Linked DNA regions of Saccharomyces cerevisiae S288C. Changing the gene in region 3 together with the main gene of any one other region gives a genetic interaction. Each region holds a gene or a part of one and is shown on either strand. Other genes may lie near its edges.

The links.
Region 1: mutations in ETR1 (region 3) and CIT1 together harm fitness less than expected from each alone (positive genetic interaction), as found in Saccharomyces cerevisiae (3 studies listed by BioGRID).
Region 2: mutations in ETR1 (region 3) and FYV10 together harm fitness more than expected from each alone (negative genetic interaction), as found in Saccharomyces cerevisiae (2 studies listed by BioGRID).
Region 4: mutations in ETR1 (region 3) and CHK1 together harm fitness more than expected from each alone (negative genetic interaction), as found in Saccharomyces cerevisiae (3 studies listed by BioGRID).

The regions. Positions count from the first base shown.
Region 1 is NC_001146.8:629,118-635,426, forward strand, and holds CIT1 (citrate (Si)-synthase CIT1), read right to left. Parts: upstream 1,945-6,309; coding exon 505-1,944; downstream 1-504. Other genes in the region: putative ammonium permease ATO2, read right to left, coding at 3,891-4,739; RPC34 (DNA-directed RNA polymerase III subunit C34), read right to left, coding at 5,227-6,180. UniProt on the Saccharomyces cerevisiae protein: Specific citrate synthase with catalytic activity only with acetyl-CoA.
Region 2 is NC_001141.2:176,032-182,477, reverse strand, and holds FYV10 (glucose-induced degradation complex subunit FYV10), read right to left. Parts: upstream 2,052-6,446; coding exon 501-2,051; downstream 1-500. Other genes in the region: BMT5 (25S rRNA (uracil2634-N3)-methyltransferase), read left to right, coding at 1-361; FMC1 (Fmc1p), read left to right, coding at 2,239-2,706; SGA1 (glucan 1,4-alpha-glucosidase), read right to left, coding at 2,825-4,474; XBP1 (Xbp1p), read left to right, coding at 5,228-6,446. UniProt on the Saccharomyces cerevisiae protein: Component of the GID E3 ligase complex recruiting N termini and catalyzing ubiquitination of proteins targeted for degradation.
Region 3 is NC_001134.8:290,838-296,744, forward strand, and holds ETR1 (enoyl-[acyl-carrier-protein] reductase), read right to left. Parts: upstream 3,183-5,907; coding exon 2,040-3,182; downstream 1-2,039. Other genes in the region: OLA1 (Obg-like ATPase), read right to left, coding at 1-1,028; YBR027C (uncharacterized protein), read right to left, coding at 3,187-3,519; putative protein kinase YPK3, read right to left, coding at 3,588-5,165; CDS1 (phosphatidate cytidylyltransferase), read right to left, coding at 5,532-5,907. UniProt on the Saccharomyces cerevisiae protein: Catalyzes the NADPH-dependent reduction of trans-2-enoyl thioesters in mitochondrial fatty acid synthesis (fatty acid synthesis type II).
Region 4 is NC_001134.8:746,668-752,926, reverse strand, and holds CHK1 (serine/threonine protein kinase CHK1), read right to left. Parts: upstream 3,334-6,259; coding exon 1,750-3,333; downstream 1-1,749. Other genes in the region: DNA-binding protein RIF1, read left to right, coding at 1-1,571; UBX7 (Ubx7p), read left to right, coding at 3,556-4,866; HSM3 (Hsm3p), read left to right, coding at 5,124-6,259. UniProt on the Saccharomyces cerevisiae protein: Serine/threonine-protein kinase which is required for checkpoint-mediated cell cycle arrest and activation of DNA repair in response to the presence of DNA damage or unreplicated DNA.

The DNA.
Region 1 (6,309 bases), on a different chromosome or scaffold from region 3:
AAAAGTGACATTTATCTTGAGGTAAGAACAGAAGAAAAAAAGGAAAAAGAGAAAATTTTATGAGATTGCTTTTTTCACATGACCATATTATATTCGCTTTATCAACTTTTTAGTGTATCTTCTACTCTAGGACAGATAAAGATGCATTAACCTTGTCATTTTGCTTCTTCTGCAGGTTCATATACATATAAACGTTAGTTACACCTTGACGTAGTATATCGACTACAGGCTAGATTTTACTGCTAAATCAGCGCGCCAGCCCACCACAATTCGATTTGAAAGCGCTTTGCAGGAATTTAAGAGCATTTTGTTTTCTATTCATTGATATCATTTGCCAAGTATATAACATAACCGGTAGGCATAGGGGACTCAAAGCGTAAAAATCATGAAGTCATAGCCATTTCCTTATGTAATATATATTTATATAAATTATAAACTACTCATTCGTATATGAAAATACGTGTTTGAATAGTCGCATACCCTGAATCAAAAATCAAATTTTCCTTAGTTCTTACTTTCGATTTTCTTTACCAACTCCTTGTATTTTTCGGTGGAGAATGATTTTGGCCTTTCGATTGGAGCACCAACAGCCCTATCGATGATTAATTGGGGTAACACACCAATAGCTCTGGCAACACCAAACAATACAGTGTAGAACGAAGCCTCAGTTAGACCATAGTATTGCAATAAAACACCGGAATGTGAATCAACATTTGGCCATGGGTTCTTAGTTTTACCATGCTTAGTTAAAACCCCTGGGGCAACTTCATAAATGGTGGAGACCAACTTAAATAACTCGTAATCTGGGAAATGTTTCAATGCGAATTCACGTTGAGCCGTATAACGAGGATCAGTTTTTCTCAAAACCGCATGGCCATAACCAGGAACAACTCTCCCTGCGTTCAAAGTATCCCACAAGTACTTTTCAATTGTTTCTTTTGAATAGTCACCTTTCACTTCTTCTCTCAATTTAAATAGCCATTCTAAAACTTCTTGATTGGCACGACCATGTAATGGGCCAGCTAAACCATTCAAACCAGCGGCCAAAGATAAGTATGGCGAAGATAAGGCAGAACCCACTAAATGTGTAGTATGGGCAGAAACGTTACCACCTTCATGATCAGAATGAATAGTTAAATATAGTCTCATTAAGTCAATAAAATCCTTGTTTTCGTAGCCCAAAAGTTGGGCCAAATTTTTACCATAGTCAGCATTAGGATCGGTTGAAGTAATTTTACCATCCTTGAACACATTACGATAAATTTTGGAAGCAATAACAGGTAATTTACCCAGCAGATCTAACGAATCTTCAAATGTATAGCTCCAATATTCTTTCTTGGATACACCTTGAGCATATGCTTTGGCAAACTTAGACTCGCTTTCTAAAGCAGTCACGGCAATAGAAAATTGCGCCATTGGATGTAGATCTTTTGGGAGGCTATCTAAAAGTTGGATAACGTGCTCTGGAATTTCTGATCTGGCAGCTAAATCAGCAGAAAGGGCTTTAACTTGAGCGTCAGTAGGTATTTCACCAGTCAAAAGCAACCAAAATAAAGCTTCTGGCAAAGGTTCTGTACTACCCTCAGCCTTTGGTAGTTCCCTTTGAATTTCTGGAATAGTACGACCCCTAAATCTAATACCTTCTTCGGGGTCTAACACGGAACCTTCCCAAACAAGGCCTTTAATACCTCTCATACCACCATAAGCTTGCTCCAAAAGAACTTCACCAATAACGGTTTTACCGTGTTCTTTCTTGAATTTTTTAATTTCTTCTGCCTTTGCTGGGATAATTTCAGCAAATCTCTCCTTCAACGTTTGTTCGGAGGCGCTACTATAGTGGCGAGCATTCAATAGTGCAAAAAGAGCCTTTTGCATATTTTGACATTGTCTTGTGGAGCCCCTTGATAAGAAACTTTTGCTAGTTGTTGATAATATCGCTGACATCTTCGTAAATAGTATTATATTGCTATATGTTTTGCCTTATTTTCTTTTTAATGGTTGTAATTGTAATTACTTAAATGCAAATAAAAGCCAAAACAAACCTGGTTTGTATTTTAGTAAACAGCAAATTTCCCCCTTAAGACTAGCAATCCATAACAGGGGAAGGGTAAAGAATAGTTGCTGCAAGTTTTGAGCATTTATATAATGGATGGATATCAATTGACATTTTCAAACAACAAGAGGTCGGATAAGTCGATAGTATCGGAAAAGCTCCAAAGGGATTGCGATCCTCCAATAACACAAAAGTATTTTTGGTCTAGCGGGGGTCATACTTTTCATTTCCGGGCGGCTGCGGCGGAAAAAAACGTGACGCCTTTTAGCACAAAAATGCAAGGTAAATACATAAAAAAAAAGGCAATGTGAACGTAAAAACGCTCATATTTACAAAGATTAATTGAGCCGTTCAATGAAATGCGAACTTCGGAGATTTCTTTAATTAGTTTAGGTATACTTTCCTGCGAAGGTCTTGTTGGAATATGTAGTAATCTCTACCCGCGTTTTTAGTTAATGCTGAATGGTTTTTGATGGCTCCTTTTTTCTTAGAGTGACAGGCGCGGCAGCCCCTTAACGCGGGTACCTGAACAAGTAAATCCGAAAATTCAATTTGACAAGGGAATCATTGGGCTGACAACAATAAGATGAGCTCTCTTATATTTTTGCCCAGGGAAAAATTTTTTGCCCACTAAAGATATGCAATATTAAAAAATTTGATAAAAATAAATCAATGGGGGCGAGCCGGGACTCGAACCCGGGACCTCCCGCACCCTAAGCGAGAATCATACCTCTAGACCACACGCCCGGTAGAAGTTGTTTTAATGAATTTCAAAATATGGTACCTCAACATCAATAGATCATCAACCACAACGTAAAACATGCATGTGAGGCTTAGGTGATTTTTGAGATAATTGTTGGGATTCCATTGTTGAAAAAGGCTATAATATTAGGTATACAGAATATACTAGAAGTTCTCCTCGAGGATCTAGGAATCCTCATATTCCTCTGTTGATAATTAGAGGTTAAAAATTAGTATTAATGAAGAAATAAGTACTGATCTTCTTATACTAAATAAGAGATGTATATAAAACACACGCTGATTGGTCATATTAATCATGACCAATATAATAGTGATTCCGGTAGTTACTAAACATTGATGTGACGACTCATATTCCTCATATATGTACCTACCATAACATGTTCAACTAATAGGTCTTTAACACAGCTTCAGTATTGTCTGAGCTTCTCGTTTAACATTCCTTCTGCAATAGGCGCAATCACACTTAAACGTATACGAGGTGTACATTAATATACGATGTAAGCATTAGATTGTTACCATAGCAACTCATGTCACTATTAATTACTCTCGTTCCAACAAAACAATTCTTAAAAATTCACCAATTTAGCTTCATGGCAAGGCTTACAGATGATTAAAATCGTGTAGATCATGGAAATCGAACCTTTCACGTTCTGCAGAATTTAAAGTGACTCCATGGCCAAGTTGGTTAAGGCGTGCGACTGTTAATCGCAAGATCGTGAGTTCAACCCTCACTGGGGTCGTTTTTTTTCTTATTTCAGATAGTCTTGTCGGTAGCAAACAGTCAAATCGCTATCACTTACATGTGATATCATTTCTGTACTGCTTATGCACTATGAAGTGCGGTTTCTTTTTTATGCGATATTACATGTGTCAATAGCAAAAGGGGTAAACCGTGCTCCTATACAACAAGAACAATAGTTCGGAAATGCATGAGAACAGTGTTGTTTTATAAAGGATTCTATGTGAAATAAAACAAAGGCCGATTTGTTCGACATTTGCTGGGCTTTTCATAAATAATGGATCATAAGAATATATAATAGGGGTAAAAGTTATTTTAGCCTGCACTTTTGTGTTTTTAGAAGAACACCTTATCATTGCTAGGTAATGCGAATGGATGGACCATAATGTACGAGTTTTGTCTTGTGGCAATACCTGCGTAAGCGTTGTACCAGGCAATGAAGGCTACTATCACACCAAGGACCCCACCAGCTCTAGTGACGCCAACTTCGCCTGTGAAGTTTGCAATGGATAGAAGTAAGAAGGTCACTGCTAAGAGGAAGAATAAGGCAAAAAACATTATAGTTGATTTCATGGTGCAGACGGAAAGACCGAAGGTGAAGAGTGCCCATCCTAGGAGGTAAAACCCTAGCGCATTTCCAAGGTCGGATTCCTTGTCCTTATAGGCATCTAGAATTCCAAACCAAGGGATGTATATAGCACCGAAGCTTAACCAAAAACCGCCGAAGGAACACAGGGCTGTACCACCGAAAGTGTTCTCTAAAGCGATTTCCCAAATACCAGCAATGAGTTGAACGAGGCCACCGTAAAACATGGCACACCCAACAACAACATTAGGGATAGTGATGCCTTGGGCTCTTGCATTGAACATGGATAGGACAAACGTAGTGAGGGCAAAACCGGAAAGTCCTAGTGGAGCAGGATTTGCGAATTTATGGACTGGCGCGGGGGCTAAACCGGGATTCAGAGTACCACCGAATGCCTCGAACAAATCATCCCTTAAAAATTTTTGACGGCCGATGTAAATATACTCGTTGTTTTTGCCCGCAGTATATATTTTGCATATGGACTCTTGCGAGTGGCGGCTCTGATCGTTGTTTTCAGAGATGAACTCACCCTCGGAAGAATCGAGTGCCTTAGGGTTCTCAAAAGCGGTGTTGCCGCTGCTTTGTTCTCTGTCAGACATGCCTTTTATTTTTTTCTGTGATTGAAGATTGTTTTTGATTGATCTGTAGAATGTTACATAGTTAGTTATGGCTATTCTAGCTCTAGGTAGGACAGTTCTCCTGCTTTATATATTTTGCTTGTTCAAAGATGATCACGGCTGTTCTCGGAGTGCGTAACTGCTTGAGAGTTAAATCCGTCGAAGTTGCTGATCATTTCCAGAAATGAGGAGACTGTTGATGATCTACTGTGAAATTATTGCGGGGCTGGTAGCATCTACTGTCACTATTATTGCCATGTCGGCTGGTATCGGAGTTCTCCCTCCGCCGATTTAGGATGGAGCCGTTCCAGCCGCGTCCGCTCTTAAGCGTCCGTAATTGGTCAACAAAGCATTTCAGCCGTGGTGATTGGAAGGAAGGTCAGCTTTCCTGTATTGCGTCTCTATCTACTTACAATACGAATGATACATTGAATTACGTACTAGTGTGAGATAGGGGTAGTCAAGAACTTCAAATTGTCCATTCATCGAAATAGACCACTTCCTTGTCGTGTTTTGAAGCCGGAAACATCTTGAAGTAGTTAAAGATGGAAAATTCTTCTTCATCCTCCAAAGCCTTATTACCTGCCTCCGGCTCGCCCTCACCTTGGTTCATTTGTAGAATGCTCTCTAAGGTCACTCTATAGCAGTCATGCGTGACTTTTTCCAGCTTGTCGTCGTACACTAAGACTTCACACAAAGATCTGATATTTGAAGGGGTTAACTCGACATTGGCCACTTGTGCCGCTGTAATAAATTCCAAAATTTCTTGTGTGGTAGAGTAATTTTTTACGTTTGGAGCATAAAAGACGTTTTTTTTGGGTCCATTTTCGAAATTCTTGAAGCCATTAGGGAAGGTGTTCTCTGATATGAACCTCCAAACAATAGTCAATAAACTATTGATAAATTCTATATCCAGCTCTCCATCTGTGAACCATGGACCTCCTGTGATGTCCACAGAGGGTTGTAAGCTGTACAACATGTAGATTTTCCTTGTGGGAAACTTTACACTCTTAACACTCTTCACGTATCTTTGGGATTCTAAACTCTTCAAGCATTTAAGAACTACATGCTGATGGAGATTGGTTCTTGCCTTGATAGTCTTGGACCATATCCCTTCTCTACCGCTAGCCTCGATATAAGAATATACCAGTGCCTCTTCAGCCGACATGGTGGCTTTCTTTTGCGCCTCAGATTCTAAGACACCTTGAAATTTTAATTCGTCGTTTTGTTTTACTAATTTGATCAAGTTCTTGTCTAGCAATTCCTGTACAATGGACATCAAGTCTGTTAACGACCCGATTCCCATTTGTTTTTGGAGTTCTTGCTGTGTAAATAATGCGCCTATTCCTTTCGACATCATCTGGCTATGTAAGGTTTTAGCATTGTCCGATAGCTGTAACCCATTTTCTATCATTCCACTCATATTCAGGATATTGGCGCTGTAAATTCTTCACTTGATTAAGATTTTCTGTAATGATCTCATCTCACAAATACATCGCAAATCAACTTGAAAATTTTTAATACAATAAAAGATTTGAAGGAAAAAAAAAGT
Region 2 (6,446 bases), on a different chromosome or scaffold from region 3:
TCAAAATGATACTCTTCGTTATACGCAAGGCTATGATCTTAATGAGGATACTCCCCAGGCTAAAAAATTGACCGCCGAAGGTTATGGTAACATCATACTGTCCCTTTTCGATGGAGAGCCCTATGATTCATGGCAAATCAAACTTTTAGCCAAAAAAAATGGACTAACTCTGAGCAGATCGAGCAAATTCCAATGGGAAAATTTTCCAGGATATCATCACCGGAGAACGAATAGCGAACAAGATACTACAAAACCTGCGAAAGAACGTGATGCTAGGTTCTACATCTTTAGTAAATATGTCTCGAATAGTTCAAAACATAACCGTAAAAGCAAAAAAGACACAGATTCTGATTCAGACTAAGTACAGAAGGAAGAATGTCGCCATGTTGATGAAAGAACTTTCATTTTCCCTAATTCTTATATAGCGTAAGTATCTGTAAAATAGTTGTGAAAGTTGGACAAATCTTTATATAAAAAAATGCATATAGCTTGAAACTATTTCAGGTTGGGTACATTTTGATAGAATCTGATTCGCAAAATATTTTCATGTCAACTGGATCCATAATTTGACCTGGATTTAAAGAAATTAAGTTTTGCTTTTTCAATGTTTTGGCCAATTTCTTCAATTTTTTACTGTCGTAAACATTTCCATTTGGTAATAGTATTGGATTTTCAAATAATTGAGACTGAATGTGATGAGCAAATGGTAATGCCTGTGTTATTGGTTTGAAAGTCTCACTGCAAACGGGACAATTTTTCCTTTTTAGTGAATGTAGCGTAAAGAGTTGTAAATCTTCAACTTCTTTCTCTGCTGTTGTGGCAGTTTCCGTCTCTTGATTTCCATTTTCATCGTCAGAAGGGTGCAGGCAATCTCTTGTCTTCAAAGACGATATACCTAGTGACAGGTATATCAATAAAGGGTCATTTTGTGATATGCCATACATGGAATAAAAGTCGCTCAAGAATAAATCATTTAATACCGACCATCTTTGATCATCTAATAAATTCAGATATCTTTCGAAATCTCCACTTTGTAAATTTATTAAGGAACTCTTGTCATAGTCTGTTGTATTCACCGCAGGTTTGGAGGTAATTCTAGGTAAAGATTTGTGAAAAAAATGTTGAAATATTCGATCTTTCTTCATTGGTAAACTTTGAGACTTAATCTCTTCAGTATCGAATCCAGAGCTGGTAGAAGAAGTTGGCTTTTGATCATTACAGTATTTGATAAAAATCAGAAGTCCAGATGCTAATTTTAAATCGGTGAAGTTGCTCTTAACGAATGGTAAAAGGAATCTTTGAAAACATACTATAGCGTCGGTATAGTTATCCACCTTTAGTAGTTCAATATATTCTTGCAATCTTGCTTGAAACTCTAATATAGAGGACTTTTTGGTCAGTGTCTTTTTGTTCTCGTTTATCCATGAAATTAGGGGTAAGAGATTACGCTCATGTAGTAACGAAGTCGAAATTCTATTAGCCTCCAAGAGGACATCATAATCAATGAGATCATCCAGTTGGCTCTGTTTCAAAAACACTACGCCAGAGTTCCAATGATCCTTTGTCTCCGAGTTGTATTTAATCGGGTTATTCCTCGTCAGATAATCACCAATTAAAATGTTTGTATAACTCTGATACCACTGTATCAATTTAGTCCTGGTACCCTCATTATTTCCATTGTGCGATGTTCCTGAATTTTGTGACTTGATGTCCTTCAGTTCGTGGAAAAACTCCAGCCTTTTTTTAATTCTGTTCAAAATCTGACAGTAGGACTTGATTTGCGTATTTAAAAATCTTTCTATATGGTCAACTTTCCTAATCATTTCAGTTATTTTTGCTAGTGCCAACTCGTCGTGCTCAACGTCATTATGTTCAAATATTTGATTTAATGCGGCCGTGTGTTCATGTAGTGATTTGGTTTCCTTATTAATTACCGCTTGAGTATGCTTGATACGTTTGGACAGTAGTTCATAAGGAATATGAAATAATTGTTGATTTAATTTCAAATGGAAATCCACATCAGGCTCATTAAATATTGATTTCTCTGCCATGGCTTACCTACTTTCCTATAATTTATAATCATTTTCTCTGTTTTATGTATGAAATTGTAGATTTAACCACCCCCTTCTCTTCGCCTTTGCAAAAAGTGAATATCTCAAATTGCACTAGAGTTTCATTTGCAGCGATAAGTGGATAACAAAAAGCTGAAAAGAGAGAGAAAGAGAGAGTGCCAGGGAAATGGATAGACCAAGAACATTACGCACATATAGAGGACTCATAAGAGCCATTCTGAAATATGAAAGGCCAAGCAAGATAGTCAATTGGGGCAATCTACGAAAGGCAATGATAACAAAGTTGGAATATGCTAAGAAACAAAATCAGAGAGACTCGCATGAGAACATCAACAGACAGTTAGAGAAATGGAAAAAACTAGATCCGGTAAGCGACAGATCTTTGAATTTGTTTATAGCCGACTCTAAGTCATTACGTTCCATATTACAAAACGATATAAAGTGGGAGAAAAAGGTGGCCCAGGGACAAAACGTTGACGAGATATTCGAACACGCTTTGGACATCATCAAGTTCTTGGACAACCAAAGAGAATACGAGGAGCTGGTCGACAGATACAATCCTGGCAACAAGTTGACACAGGATGAGAAAGTGAAAAGAACTGCAAACGTGGTTGGGCTGGACGTTCCGACATAGTATCTAATCAATTTATAATATCAGAGTTTTGTAAATAAGTATATATATATATTTGATGTAAATATCTAGGAAATACACTTGTGTATACTTCTCGCTTTCCTTTTATTTTTTTTTTTGTCTACAAACTCTGTAAAACTTCTTGTCTTATTTGATAGGCATCCCAGAATGAAGTATAGGACCAGGTAAGGTGTTGGGCACCCTGCATAAACCCTGTGTATTTGTTAAATTGTTCACTTAGTTCCCCGTCTGTTCCCACGTGAGCTTTCAGCTTGACCAAGAATGAATCAGCTAGTTGGAAGATTTTTTGTATGGTTTGATTGAAGGCAGGTGTATTGAACTCCAAAATCAAATAGCCTTCGTCATTTCCCAAAGTCGTGAGGTTGGAGAATACCAGCTCGCTCCAAAATGCGTTCGAACAATCGTTGTTCATTGGGACAACCAAGTCATGCTGCTCAGAGATGTGTCTGTAAATGAGCTGATAAAGCGTTGTTGAAGCGGTACACGTGGCCAGGACCCAGGGATTTCCCTCGCCAAAGCCATATCCATCATATACGTCCTCAGGATACCGGCCCAGGGCAATACCCGTTGCATTTTTGGAGCTATCGTTGATGGGGTATATCGAACGCATGTGCAACATCAAATGGTGCAACGTGTTCAGGACGGCAGGGTCATTGATATCGAACGGAAGATGGGAAGCAGATGGCGCATCGTGGACGGTGTTCGCAGCTAATAAAGTGGATATGTCCAGTCCGGATCTCAATGTGTCGGCAATCATGGGTGTCCCAACAATATAATTGTACTTGCCGTTGATAAACCCATTCGCAGGGTCCACTAAAAACTTGGAGATGTCCCGGCGTGTCTGACGCAATTCTTCAACAAAGGGAGACGACCGTTCTGAGGCGTTAAAATACGACAGCGACTTGTCCACTGCAGACAGTTGTACCAGTAAAGTAAAGAAATGCATGCCATTGACTTCCTCCCATAGATCAAATCCGGAAGAATTCCAGTGGTCAATAATGAACCTCAGGTCCCAACGTACAATATCATCAAAGATATCTGCGGTGGACTGGAATGGGTACTTGGCCCCCAGATCAGTGCCAGATTGCTTGATGTAGTCGATGATTTTTAAGATGGCAATGCTTCGAAGAGCAGGCCCATCGTTTTGAGGACGACCCCAATCTTCCGTGAAAGCCGTGTTGTCGACGTTCCACTTAGGGTCTCCCAAAGCCACTGTATCGTTAGTGTAACCAATGCCAGCGCCCAATGTGTTGTTGCTTCTTTGCAAGTGGAATGAAACGTTCAGGTACTGCAATAACGTCTCTATTGCCGGGCCCGCAGAATGAGAGACAATACTGTTTATCGTCAACGCGCTGTCCCTTATCCATTGGTAGAAGTAGTCTGGATGCGTTTGCGATGGTGACGCAATCACGACCCCAGGCGAAATAGACGGATACACGGCGCTGGGCCCAATATTTTCAAATATTTTTTCGATGGAAACTTTTTTCTGTCCCTGGAGCCATTCCTCCAGCGCACTACTGTCCCAAGCGCCGTTTGAATCGTATACCACTGTCCCATTCATCAAGACTGCATCCCGCAGCTGCACTTGCGAAGGGCCGTTGTTTGAAAATACACCGCCGTAGCTTTGATCGAGAATGCCCTTGCCAAAGTCAAATTCGTATATAGTAATGTTCTCGAGCGCCCAAGCAAACCCGAATCCTACGCTGAGCATGCCGAGTAATTTGTTATAAAACATCTTTTGTCTTGCCATTTTGCTGCTGTTACTTATTTGAAATCTTGCTCTAGTCCACGATTATCACTATATTGTAAATGTACGATTTCTTGTGTAACAGAACAGATAACGGATCCAGAGCCAAGAGATGAGAAAAAATACGAAATGCGCAGGAGGAAACAGGGAACCAAAAAAGGACCCTTGCTTCTGTGCCTGAGTCCCCTAATTTGTGACTCCACACATGCAGGCAAGTTAAAAGCACCTTGTACGAGTGCTATGAATGGGTGTTACTCTGGCCCGATTTCCCTGACTTTCCTTATTCACCCTCACCCCTAATACCCGTTTCCGCGGATAATGTTCTATGCTTCGAAGCGCCCCCCTTGCGCTGGGCCTCGAACCGCATCCATTGAACAACAGCTTGGCCTTCCCTGTATTCTACCACATCCATTGCTATTGCCCCTCTCCCCTTCTCCTCTCTCTTCTTCTCCACTATACTGTGCTTTTCAGCCCATTCGGCGCGCGAAATCACAAGCTGTATATATACATTTACATATACATATATATATATATATATATGTGCATAAATGTATGTACATATATGAATGCCGGGCCGCGTGGCGTCTGTAGCTTGTGCGTGTACGTGTGTACACACTTCAACATATATATACATACATATATATATCTATTATTCGTGTACTAGTGTTTTAACTTGCTCGTTCTCGGTACGCATCCAGTTCTTCTCCCCACACAACGGCAAGCTCAAAATACCTTATCATAGACACCTTCTCCAACATGAAATATCCCGCTTTTAGCATTAACAGTGACACGGTACACTTAACGGACAACCCCCTGGACGACTATCAGCGTCTCTACCTCGTCAGCGTACTGGATAGGGACTCGCCGCCGGCCAGTTTCAGCGCCGGACTCAATATTAGAAAGGTTAACTATAAATCCTCCATTGCTGCGCAGTTCACACATCCAAACTTCATTATCAGTGCTCGGGACGCAGGGAACGGGGAAGAGGCGGCGGCGCAGAACGTTCTGAACTGCTTCGAGTACCAGTTTCCCAACCTACAAACAATTCAGAGCCTAGTCCACGAACAAACGTTGCTATCGCAGCTCGCTAGCTCCGCCACTCCTCACTCCGCCTTGCATCTGCACGATAAAAATATTCTGATGGGTAAGATCATACTACCTTCCCGGTCTAACAAAACACCAGTCTCAGCATCACCCACCAAGCAAGAAAAGAAGGCTCTGTCAACAGCATCGCGTGAAAATGCCACCTCCTCGCTGACAAAGAATCAGCAGTTCAAGTTGACCAAAATGGACCATAATCTGATCAATGACAAGCTCATCAACCCTAACAACTGCGTAATATGGTCGCATGACTCCGGCTATGTGTTCATGACGGGCATCTGGCGGCTGTATCAGGATGTTATGAAGGGGCTTATAAACTTGCCCAGAGGTGACAGCGTTTCCACTAGCCAACAGCAGTTCTTTTGCAAGGCTGAATTCGAGAAAATTCTATCTTTTTGCTTTTACAATCACAGTTCGTTCACTTCTGAGGAATCTTCAAGCGTACTGTTGTCGTCCTCCACCTCTTCGCCGCCAAAGAGACGGACATCCACAGGGTCTACCTTCTTGGACGCCAATGCGTCTTCTTCATCTACTTCTTCAACGCAGGCAAACAATTACATCGATTTTCATTGGAACAACATCAAGCCCGAACTGCGGGACCTTATTTGCCAGTCTTACAAAGACTTCCTGATCAATGAACTTGGTCCTGACCAAATAGACTTGCCCAACTTAAATCCGGCAAATTTTACGAAAAGAATAAGAGGTGGTTACATCAAAATTCAGGGTACTTGGTTGCCGATGGAAATCTCAAGGTTGCTATGCCTGCGGTTTTGTTTTCCGATCAGATACTTTCTGGTGCCTATTTTTGGTCCAGATTTCCCCAAAGATTGCGAATCGTGGTATTTGGCTCATCAAAACGTTACATTTGCTAGTT
Region 3 (5,907 bases):
GTATTCATTAAATCGTTATGAATAACACCAGCAGCTTGTGGAGCTTTAGTACCTCTTCTGATGGTCCATTCACGAACTTCATCTGGACCGCAGGTGAAAAAGGAAATCAAATCTAACTTTTGTCTCATGGTAGTGATAATCTTTGGCAAGGCAGATATTGTCTGCAGTTTCTTCAATTCTTCTTCAGCATCTTCTGGGGACATATGAGATAGTCTTTCTTCTAGAGAAACACTGAATGGAATGATCAAGTCACCTGGAGAGTACTTGTCTACCCATTCCTTGATTCTTAGCAGATGCTTGTTTTTCTTTCTGATGTAATCTCTTTCAGATAAATTAATCAAATAGATACATGGCTTAGCAGTCAACAAGAACATGGAGTTGATAATTTCAACTTCTTTTGAAGTCCAGGAGTGATTAGCAACTCTTTGACCACTCTCTAGCAATTTAATGATTTTCGTAATCAAATCCATTTCTTCCTTCTTTTGTTTGACTTCCAAAGATTGACCACCTCTTTTGGCAATCTTTTCAGCACCTTCCAAAGCCTTTTGTGCGAATTCAATATCTTTCAATCTTAGTTCTTGGTTAATAATTTCTAAATCACGAACTGGATCAACGTCACCCTCAACGTGGATAATTTCAGCATCATCGAAACAACGAACGACTTGGTAGATAGAATCGACTGATCTGATGTGAGACAAGAAAGCATTACCCAAACCTTCACCAGCAGAGGCACCCTTAGTCAAACCAGCAATATCGTAAACGGTCAAATGAGCTGGAACTTCCGAAGCTGTCTTCTTGTAGATTTCACACAACTTATCAAATCTTGGAGATGGGACAATAACACGGGCTTCTTCTGGATCAATGGTAGCGAATGGATAGTTAGCTGGGTTACCCAATGGACATCTAGTGATGGCTTGGAAAAAGGTAGACTTACCAACATTGGCCAAACCGACAATACCGGCTTTCAAGTTATTACCTGGACGACCCAATAAGACCTTTTTTTCTTCGACTTGCTTCTTTGGAGGCATGTTTTACAGTGCTATTTATTTGATTGTTTTTACGGATACTAGAAGTAACACAAAAAGCTAAAAAAGGCAAAATGCAATAAAAAATTAGTACTAATTATCAACTGAATACACTACTAAATACGATTTCTCGCAACGAAAGGTATGAGAGAGAAGACGTAAGTTGACTTTCACTGCATCCTTCCTTTTGGGTCATAAAATCGCTGGGATGGCCCTTGAAAAAATTTTTTCAGTGAAAAAAAAAAGAATTTTCGAGAAAAAAAAAAAATTAGGAATTGTGCGTGGTCATTCAATACGGAGAATTAAGTAACACGCAACAACTGCATTCTGCCTTAGTTGTCTCAAGGCAAATTGGCACCAACAATATGAACTTGTTGTAAAGCTCAACTCCAAAGAAGGGAAACTACTCAGATTTGTTTTCTTCAGTTTAACAGGCGTATCTTCTGCAAATCTACTACGTTTCCTACCGAAGACTTCGCTCTACGAGAATTCTTAGGTTTCTACGAGTTACGCGCCCTTCTTCGAACGCCATTCTCAGGAAAAATTGCATTTACGTAATCTTTTGTTCTAATTGATATAATGGCTATTTATACGTAATATCATGCTTAAGAACCAAGAAAGCCAATAATGGCATTCGGAGGAAGCAATCAGTGAGGAAAATTGTTGATTAAGCTAGATATTTCTATATCTAGTAGATCTTGTCAAGTTGAAGTAGCGAATAGGACTCCTGTATTGCTATTGTGATGTTTTTTTATTGTACAGTAGTTGTATAACTTATCGTTGGTATTAACTACCGTTTGTTTATACATCATGCTCATTATCTCGTCCTGACTAATGTGAAAGGATCGATATATACATTGAAGGGTCGACGTCCCCTTTTATTAGCTCCTACAAAGATAGCACTGGCATATATTTTTTAATGTCTTGGTATATATTATATAGCAACTATACTCGATGTCATAAAGAGGAATACTATCTTTGGTGGTTGTCTAACTCTGAGCAATGCTAAGGCCCTTACCATTCTAAAACAACCATTTTTTTCTTCCCCTTCCCAGTTATACCTTTTTTGACTAGTTCTAGTAACTGTTCGTCAGTAGTAGTGTTAGTATTCCAGGTAAGAGTTTCAATTTCATCTCTTGGTGAAATAATGTGACCATAATTATACATTTTGATAAAATCACTGATGGTGTCAATCTTGCTTTGGGGGTTTTTTTTGTTCTTTTCAGTCACCCAGTACCCTTTGGATGTCAAGCCTTTGAAAATGTGTAGAGATGTTGGTAAAGTTACAGGTTGTTTTGACATTCCTCCATAAGTGAGCATCAAAGCATTATTTTCCAACTTACGTGCTATTGATGCACTGGATTTACCTCCAACAGAATTCAAGGCAAGCCTCACCCTTGCATTTTCACCCAAAATCTTGGACAATACTTCTTTGGCAAAAGTCTTGTCGTTGTTTTGCGATTCGGAAATAACCTTCGTAGCACCATACTTATCCTCCAAAACTTTTGCTACCTCATCAAAATTATCACGGTCACGTATAACACTTAATGTTTTGATCCCTTTAGCTTTTGCTACTTGCGTAACTATTTTTGATACACTAGATGTACCGGCATTTTGGATAATCCATTCATTACCGTTACTGTTCCAGTCGATATAGTCTGATACTAATTGGAAACCGGTACAACCATTAACAGATACAGTTGCCGCAGAAAACAGATCCAAATCATTTACCTTGATTAAATCAGAACTACTAGAGAAAACTCTATAATTGGACCAAGTCCCTTGATTTGCCTGCAATGGGATAACTCGGTCACCCAATTTCAAATCTCCCTTGGAACTTCCCGAAGGTAAAGAAACAACTTCAAAGACACCCTCATTACCGGCGATAGCGGCTGGCTCATCTGTGGAGTAATCGTATGTCTTTTCTGGACGAGACGGGTATACTCCTTGCAACTGATTGATATCCGAAGGGTTTATGGGAAAGGCCAAAGTTTTTAACACAATTGATTGAGATAAGTCTTGTTTAGGCGTATAATTTTTCACTGACAAAACCTTGGTACAATCCTCAACTTCATGAGTTGAATAGATGAGCGATTTGAAGTGCTTGGGAATCTGATGAGCTGAGGACGACATGTAACGTTTGAATGTGGGAAGCATCTTGTTATATCAAATGTAATTGGCAGATTATGAACCTTCTTAAATGACAATGTACGTTTGTAATCTCCAATTTCTTTAGCCATGGAAACAACCCCTGGGTACACCACTCGTGCGTCCCTTGGAGGAGAACCACTCTTTTAAGGTAAAAAAAAAAGCACCGGCGGGGTCCAATAATGATAATAATACCATAAATAAGGAAGATGGTATCACCGATTGGTCCAGAAGTATTATCCATACAGTTGTTTTTAATATTATTACATACATTATATATTAAAAATGTGTTTCGTAACCCTAAAGCAAAACAAAGTATATACAGTGACACAGATCCTTTAAACATCAAAAAAACAAAAAAAAGTAAGTCAGTGCAGATCCGAGCCTTCTCTCTTAATCTATCTAACTTTTAATTCAAAAGTACTTCTCCAAATAGCTACCACTTGCTTTATAACTAAATCCCTTGAACATATCCGGGGACTTGCTCACCGAATTGATATTAATCGGCTTGCTATCCGTATAGGTTTCCTCATATGACATAGAAGTAAATTCTGTGTCAAAATTTTCCGCTAGTTCCAAATCCGTAATAACTGGAACAATTGGGCCTAGAGTGGTTTTTTGCAATTGTCCAGATTCTAATAACTTCCAGTCTATTTTTCTAAAGATAAAATGTTCAGTGAAAAGACTAGTTCTTGCAGCCCCTGATTTCTTCTTCTTAGACTTAGTAGGCTTATTATTAGCCCCGGTTTTGGCCCAGTATTTGTCAACATTCCACCTTTTGGCAGTTTCCTTCTTCAACAGCGCGTTTAATATATCTTTCATTCCCTCGCTCAGATAAAATGGAATTTTGGGGCCTTGCTTGTTTTGTTGAATCTTATTAATGATCACCTTATGATTGCTACCAGTATATGGAGGCTTACCTACTAACATGTCATACAACAGACATCCCAAAGAATACCAATCACAATTCTGACTGTAAGCTTTACCTAATAATATTTCAGGCGCACAGTATTCAGGCGTACCGATAATCGAGTATAGGGCATTGACGTTCTCTGGATCCTCCTCATCAACCGCGGAATCATTAGCACTTTTTTTACTCAGACCAAAATCTGTCAATACTAAATGTCCACGTTGATTCAATAAACAGTTTTCAGGTTTTAAATCTCTATAGACAACACCTTTCGTATGCAAAAATCTCAAGGCACAGCTGATTTCTGCCGCGTAAAACGAAACTGTCGTCTCATCTAGGGTCCCGTGTTCCTTCAAGTGGTAAAATAGTTCACCGCCAGGGATATATTGTAGCAGTAAATATAACTTTGAGTTATCGTGAAAAGAATAAAATAACTTGACAATGTTTGGATGTTCTATTTCAGATAGAATAGACCGTTCGGCAAATGTTCTCTCAAGCCTCTTTGATAATCCATCGTCATTATCGTTGTTATTACCATCATTTTTATCTTCGTCTTCTCTCTTGGAATCTGTGGCTGTTTGAGAAATTAAAATTTCTGCTTTCCGTAATTGCTTCATAGCATACAGCTTGGATGTATTGACGTCCTTAACAAGAAGAACTTTACCGTAGGCACCTTGGCCTAGGACTCTCACGGGCTTAAAATCGTGCAGGTTCCTTGATAATTCATTTTCTCCAATATTAGAGGAAATAATGTCCTGAGGTGTTATGGATAGTCTATTCGTATTAGTTCGCATTGCGTCCGAACCTGTAATAGAAAATCTTCTCGTATTTGGTGGAGTGAGAATAGGGAATTTGGAATAAGCTGAGGACCTTCTTCTCATCCTATGTGCAGGACTCATGCCATTTAGCGGAATCGCATTTGAATGAACCGAGAGGTGATTTATACTCTCCTCATATGTGATGGAGCTGCCTTGTTCATGATTGATATCATTGTATATTGCCGAGGAATAATCTACTTTAATGTCATTCTTTTTATCATCTAGTGACACACGATGAAGTTCTTCATCTAGTGAGAAAATCATCCTAATTACTGCCAACAGTATGCTCAGCTAGATTGGTTGATGAAAAATCTTATCATAGGGCACCTTCCAGGTAAAAGATCTACTTACTATTAGTCAGTACGTCCTTTTTTCATTTGTTTATAATTTTTTTTTTTTTTTTTTTTTTCTCCTCTCAATATTTTAGAAGTAACATGACAGAGCAACACGTTTATTTTCCTACATATAGTCATAAGTATAAAAACGAGCGAGAAATTTTGTTAAAGAATTGATATCATATTTTATAATTTACATAAACTAAATAGGGAAAGAGTAGTATAGCGTGCATAAGTTTGAAAAAAAAAAACTATTCATACACTCATATATACTTTTATATGGTCTTTTTTATATTCAAGAGTGATTGGTCAATGATTTCTTGGTCACATTAAAGATGTCAGCCAACTTTTCAAAATTCTTCGCTGATATTATACCTTTTTTAGATAGGAATCTAATCAAGATATCAATCAATTCTATAATCTGCTTGTCGTTCAGGTTCATTAAAATAGTGGATAAAACTGTATCTACTGTTATTCTGTGTTCGCTGATGAATGTTTCATAGTACAAATTGGCAAAAGAACCCATTATGAATTGGCAATCAACCCTGTCTGTGATACCACCATGGCCTGGGATGGAGTGGCCAAAGTCTTTAACTTTAAAAGTTCTCTTTAGACCAGATGCGAAAAAGCCTCCAAATGGCGCAAATAATGATGCAAAGGTAGCTAAGTTT
Region 4 (6,259 bases), 460 kb from region 3:
ATCATAGCAACATTTGTTCTACTAAAAGCGATGAGGTGGATGTTACTGAGCTGCATGAAAGTATTGATACACAATCCTCGGAAGTGAACGCATACCAACCGATAGAAGTTCTCACTAGCGAACTGAAGGCGGTAACAAATAGATCTATCAAAACGAATCCTGATCATAACGTTGTTAACAGTGATAATCCTCTAAAACGACCTTCCAAAGAGACGCCTACCTCTGAAAATAAAAGATCGAAAGGTCATGAAACGATGGTGGACGTTTTAGTTTCTGAGGAACAAGCGGTGTCGCCTAGCAGTGACGTTATATGTACTAACATCAAGAGTATAGCCAACGAAGAATCTTCGTTAGCTTTAAGGAATAGCATAAAAGTGGAAACAAACTGTAATGAAAATTCCTTGAATGTCACTTTAGATCTTGACCAGCAAACCATAACAAAGGAAGATGGAAAAGGGCAAGTTGAACATGTTCAAAGACAGGAGAACCAGGAAAGTATGAATAAAATCAACAGTAAAAGTTTTACGCAAGACAATATTGCACAGTACAAGAGCGTGAAGAAAGCCCGTCCTAATAATGAGGGTGAAAACAACGATTATGCTTGTAATGTTGAACAAGCCTCTCCAGTAAGGAATGAGGTGCCAGGAGACGGCATTCAGATCCCGAGTGGGACTATACTTCTCAATAGTTCAAAGCAGACAGAAAAATCAAAAGTTGATGACTTGCGTAGTGATGAAGATGAACATGGAACGGTTGCGCAAGAGAAACATCAAGTGGGTGCAATAAACAGTAGAAACAAAAATAATGACAGGATGGACAGCACACCCATTCAAGGCACTGAAGAAGAATCTAGGGAAGTTGTTATGACCGAAGAAGGTATCAATGTACGCTTAGAAGATAGTGGAACATGCGAACTTAATAAAAATTTGAAGGGACCGCTTAAAGGAGATAAGGATGCCAATATTAATGACGATTTTGTACCTGTTGAAGAAAATGTCAGAGATGAGGGCTTTTTAAAATCAATGGAACATGCGGTATCTAAAGAGACAGGTCTAGAAGAACAACCCGAAGTTGCTGATATTTCAGTGTTACCAGAAATTCGTATACCCATTTTCAATTCTTTGAAAATGCAAGGGTCAAAGAGCCAAATAAAAGAGAAATTGAAAAAGAGATTGCAAAGGAATGAGTTAATGCCACCAGATTCACCTCCTCGAATGACAGAAAATACAAATATCAACGCGCAGAATGGCTTAGACACCGTACCAAAAACAATTGGTGGAAAAGAAAAACACCATGAAATTCAATTAGGCCAAGCCCACACAGAAGCAGATGGCGAACCTTTGTTGGGGGGAGATGGTAACGAAGATGCTACATCTAGGGAAGCCACACCTTCATTAAAAGTGCACTTTTTTTCAAAAAAGTCGAGAAGGTTAGTGGCCAGATTGAGAGGGTTCACACCGGGCGACTTGAACGGAATATCTGTGGAAGAAAGAAGAAACTTGAGAATTGAATTATTAGATTTTATGATGAGGCTCGAATATTACTCAAACAGGGATAATGATATGAATTGATTGTTAGTATGTAGAATAGATCAAAATGGCAATAAATTAATTACAATAATAAAATCTCTCGAAACAATATATAGTTACGATGACACACTAGAAATCGAGAGAGATATATAATAAGTAGAAAGAATTTTTTTTTTTTTTTGATCAGTGCATCTTAACCCTTCTTTTGTCTCCATTTTTTTCAGTTGGGAATTAGGATAATATCCCTACAGATAGTTGAAATTTTCTTGAACAATCTTCTCCATTCTAAAGGATCACCAGTTTTTCTTTCAAATCCGACACTTTTCAACTCTTCTTCAATCTTTATGATGGAAATGCTACCGCATAATTGATAACCCCCATTACTTTTGGTTTTAATATTTATAATAAGTGGGAAAACGTTATCATAACCCAATAATTCGCACAATCTTTCAAAATTCGCAAAAAGGTCGGGTTTTACTCTAATTTGTGATAAATTCAAGGCTTTCTCCAAAATCGGTAACAAAACATCCATAGGTTGCAACGTGTAGAACTTGGTAAGTTTATTCGGATTAAATTGTAAATGTCGTTTTACTAATTCATTACAATCATTTTCATCAGAATGAAACTGTAAGGCAGCGATATCATAGCTTATGAATTGCGTCCACTTAGCCTCTTGTGTCATACCTGTTCCGCTATTATAGTTCGTATTTGAATCATACGAGGTAAATGCACGTTGTGTATTCGAAACTGTCTGGAAATGCATTGAGTCGTGTTCAAGCTCAGCCAATTCGTTACCAATTGGCTGAGTAGAAATGTACCTATTATTAGAGTTTGTATCTTGAGTGAATTTCAAATAATTTTCGTTACTCAGTGAGACTTTTAAGTGAGAAAACAGTTTCTTAGCCAAGAGTTCAGGGTCATTACAGAGACCATCATCCCCAGAAAATGAAGCTCGACGTAATACCCAAGGATGTAACTTTAAAGCCTTCAATGTCACCCTCTTATTTGGGTCAGGTTGTAAAATTTTTCGGAGTAGGTTCAAGTGAGTAAATTCTATCTTTGACCAGGGTCCCCAGTTTAAATTTCCATCATTTTCAATAAAAAAGACGAAATCTTCGTTCTCTAATGAAGGTAATTCCCAAGGCGTTTGACCAGTCAACAATACGAACAAGAGGATGCCAATAGACCATATATCTGTTCGATCTGCGTAATAACCCTCTTCAGAATATAATACTTCAGGAGCCATGTAGGGTGGAGAACCCCTTTGATCCATGGATACACGTAATGTACCATCTTTCCTCCTAAATTGAGAGGCGAGCCCAAAATCAGCTAGCTTCAGATTTCCGTTCTTATCGAGTAAGATGTTTTCAGGCTTGATGTCTCTGTGAGCAACTCCACATTCTACATGCAGATAATTAATAGCACTAACGAGCTGTTGAAAGTAAAATTGGGCCACGTCGGAATCAACTCCAACGTCAGGCTCAATCTTATCAAATAGATCACCACCATCTGCCATCTCCAGAATTATCCACATATATTCTTTAGAGACATTACAATCGATAAGTCTCAAAACATTAGGATGCTTAGAACACTTCGATTGCAAAACAACCTCTTTTGTGATATCCTTGTCACTGAGTCCCATTTTTTTGCAAGTGGGAACATGAATGAATTTAACAGCTAGAATAATGGAGGGATCCATTTGAAGATGAGCATTTTTAACGCAGGCGAATGCGCCTTGGCCTACTGTATCTCCTAAAACAACATCCTTGATATGGGGTAAAGGTGACACCTGCGAGAGACTCATAGTAATACGTGCTGCCCATATACAGCAACTTATGATATACTCTTATGTTTGAAGCTGTAGTTGTTTTTATTTGCCATTCAATTATTAAAATGACATTTAAAGCCGCTCTTTATTAACTTCGGCAGGCCTCGTAGTAATGTTGAAAATTTAAAAGGGAGCTGGGTTGAGGTTGAAAGCACTTACAAAGAAGCAAGGATAGCTAAACCAAACAGCCGTAACCAAATGTTAGAAGCACTGTTTAGAGATTCTGTGGAAGAAGCAATAAACGATTCCATCAAGGAAGGCGTTGTGCTGGCCGTTTACAACACTGCACGGGATGACCAGTGGCTGAAAAGTTGGTTTAAAGGAGATGATGTCTCATTAGATACTTTAGCGGAACATAGTATTTGGTTGAGGTTGGTCAAAGACACTGAGCAGTTCCAGTTATTTGAGCAAGTATTTCCTAATGTAGTTGTACCCAGTATATACTTGATACGTGCTGGAAAGATAGAATTGATTATTCAAGGCGAGGATGACCGACATTGGGAGAAGTTGCTGGCGTGCATAGGCATCAAAGACAAAAAGGCTGGTGAGAGTTCGTCCAGGGAAACCAATCCAGGTTTGGCTAGAGAAGAAAAGTCATCCAGAGACGTCCATAGGAAAAATGCAAGAGAACGGATTGCTGAGACTACCTTAGAGATCCAACGTCGTGAACAACTGAAACAAAGAAAGCTGGCTGAGGAGGAAAGAGAAAGAATTATAAGACTTGTTAGGGCAGACCGTGCAGAAAGAAAAGCTCTTGATGAAACTCATCACAGAACCCTTGATGATGATAAGCCATTGGATGTTCATGATTACATAAAAGACGCACAAAAACTGCACAGCAGCAAATGCGTCTTGCAAATCAGGATGACTGATGGCAAGACTCTAAAACATGAGTTCAACTCGTCTGAAACATTAAATGACGTTAGAAAATGGGTGGACGTCAACAGGACAGATGGAGACTGCCCGTACTCATTCCACAGGGGCATTCCCAGAGTGACATTTAAGGATTCTGATGAATTGAAGACGCTAGAGACACTAGAACTAACTCCAAGGTCTGCATTATTACTTAAACCACTAGAAACTCAAAACTCGGGGCTATCTGTGACTGGGATGGAGGGACCAAGCCTTTTGGGCCGTCTTTATAAGGGATTCTCTACGTGGTGGCACAACGATAAAGATCCTGAAGTAACATCACAACGTGAGGAAACATCGAAGCCGAATCGTCACGAAGTGAGGTCTTCAACACCTTTATCTGGAGCTGCTTCGTCAAGCTGTTTCCAATACAACAATGTTCGGGAACCAGTTCAATCATCTGCTCATGCATCACCAATGCTGACACCTAGCGGAACCAGGTACCCATCGGAAACCAACCTTACTACGTCACGTTCTGTCTCGCCAAATGTTTTCCAATTTGTTAACAACGATCATCAAGAAGATCCTGAAGACCCAACAACCTTTAATGGTAATAATGTCCATTTAGAAAAGAAAAAGGACGAAGATAAAAAATAAGTAGTTAATGGCTTCAACTCCATTTATGACTAGTATTAGACGTGAATTTTTTTTGATTAGATTACATAAAAAAATATACAGTAATTTTATTTACATGGATTTTTGTTATAGCTGGTATTTTTATATCTTTTTTTCTGTTTCAAATGCATATAGAAAAATTGAAGAGTAAGTTTATATAAACACCTTAATTACGGGATTAAAAATAAAACAAGTTTACAACTATAATCACCGCAAAAGAACTCAGCGAAACAGGAGCAATGAGTGAGAAAGAAACAAATTACGTGGAAAATCTCCTTACGCAATTAGAAAATGAACTTAATGAAGATAACTTGCCTGAAGATATCAACACACTATTAAGGAAATGTTCTTTGAATCTTGTGACTGTTGTCTCCCTTCCAGATATGGATGTTAAACCACTACTGGCTACGATCAAGCGTTTTCTGACGTCTAACGTATCCTATGATTCATTGAATTACGATTACCTTTTGGACGTTGTGGACAAGCTTGTTCCCATGGCTGATTTTGACGATGTTCTAGAAGTTTATAGCGCGGAGGACTTAGTGAAGGCCCTTAGGTCAGAAATAGATCCATTAAAAGTAGCAGCATGTAGAGTCATTGAGAATTCGCAGCCAAAGGGTTTATTCGCGACCAGTAATATCATCGATATTCTATTGGATATTCTATTTGATGAGAAAGTGGAGAATGATAAGCTCATTACAGCAATCGAAAAAGCGTTGGAAAGGTTGAGTACAGATGAATTGATTAGGCGTCGATTATTTGATAATAATTTGCCATACCTGGTGAGCGTAAAGGGTAGAATGGAAACGGTTTCTTTTGTCAGATTAATTGACTTCTTGACTATTGAGTTTCAATTCATCAGCGGTCCTGAGTTCAAGGATATCATATTTTGCTTTACTAAAGAAGAGATACTGAAATCCGTTGAAGATATCCTCGTTTTCATCGAATTGGTTAATTATTATACTAAGTTTTTGCTGGAAATACGAAATCAAGATAAATACTGGGCTTTAAGACATGTAAAAAAAATACTGCCAGTATTTGCTCAACTTTTTGAAGACACGGAGAACTATCCTGATGTCAGGGCCTTTTCTACAAATTGTCTTTTACAGTTATTCGCAGAGGTGTCACGAATTGAGGAAGATGAATATTCTTTATTCAAGACTATGGACAAAGATTCTTTAAAAATTGGGTCCGAAGCAAAATTAATAACCGAGTGGTTGGAATTAATTAATCCGCAGTACTTGGTAAAATATCATAAAGATGTGGTCGAAAACTATTTTCACGTCAGTGGCTACAGCATTGGAATGTTGAGAAATCTTTCAGCAGATGAAGAATGTTTCAATGCTATAAGAAACAAGTTTAGTGCTGAGATTGT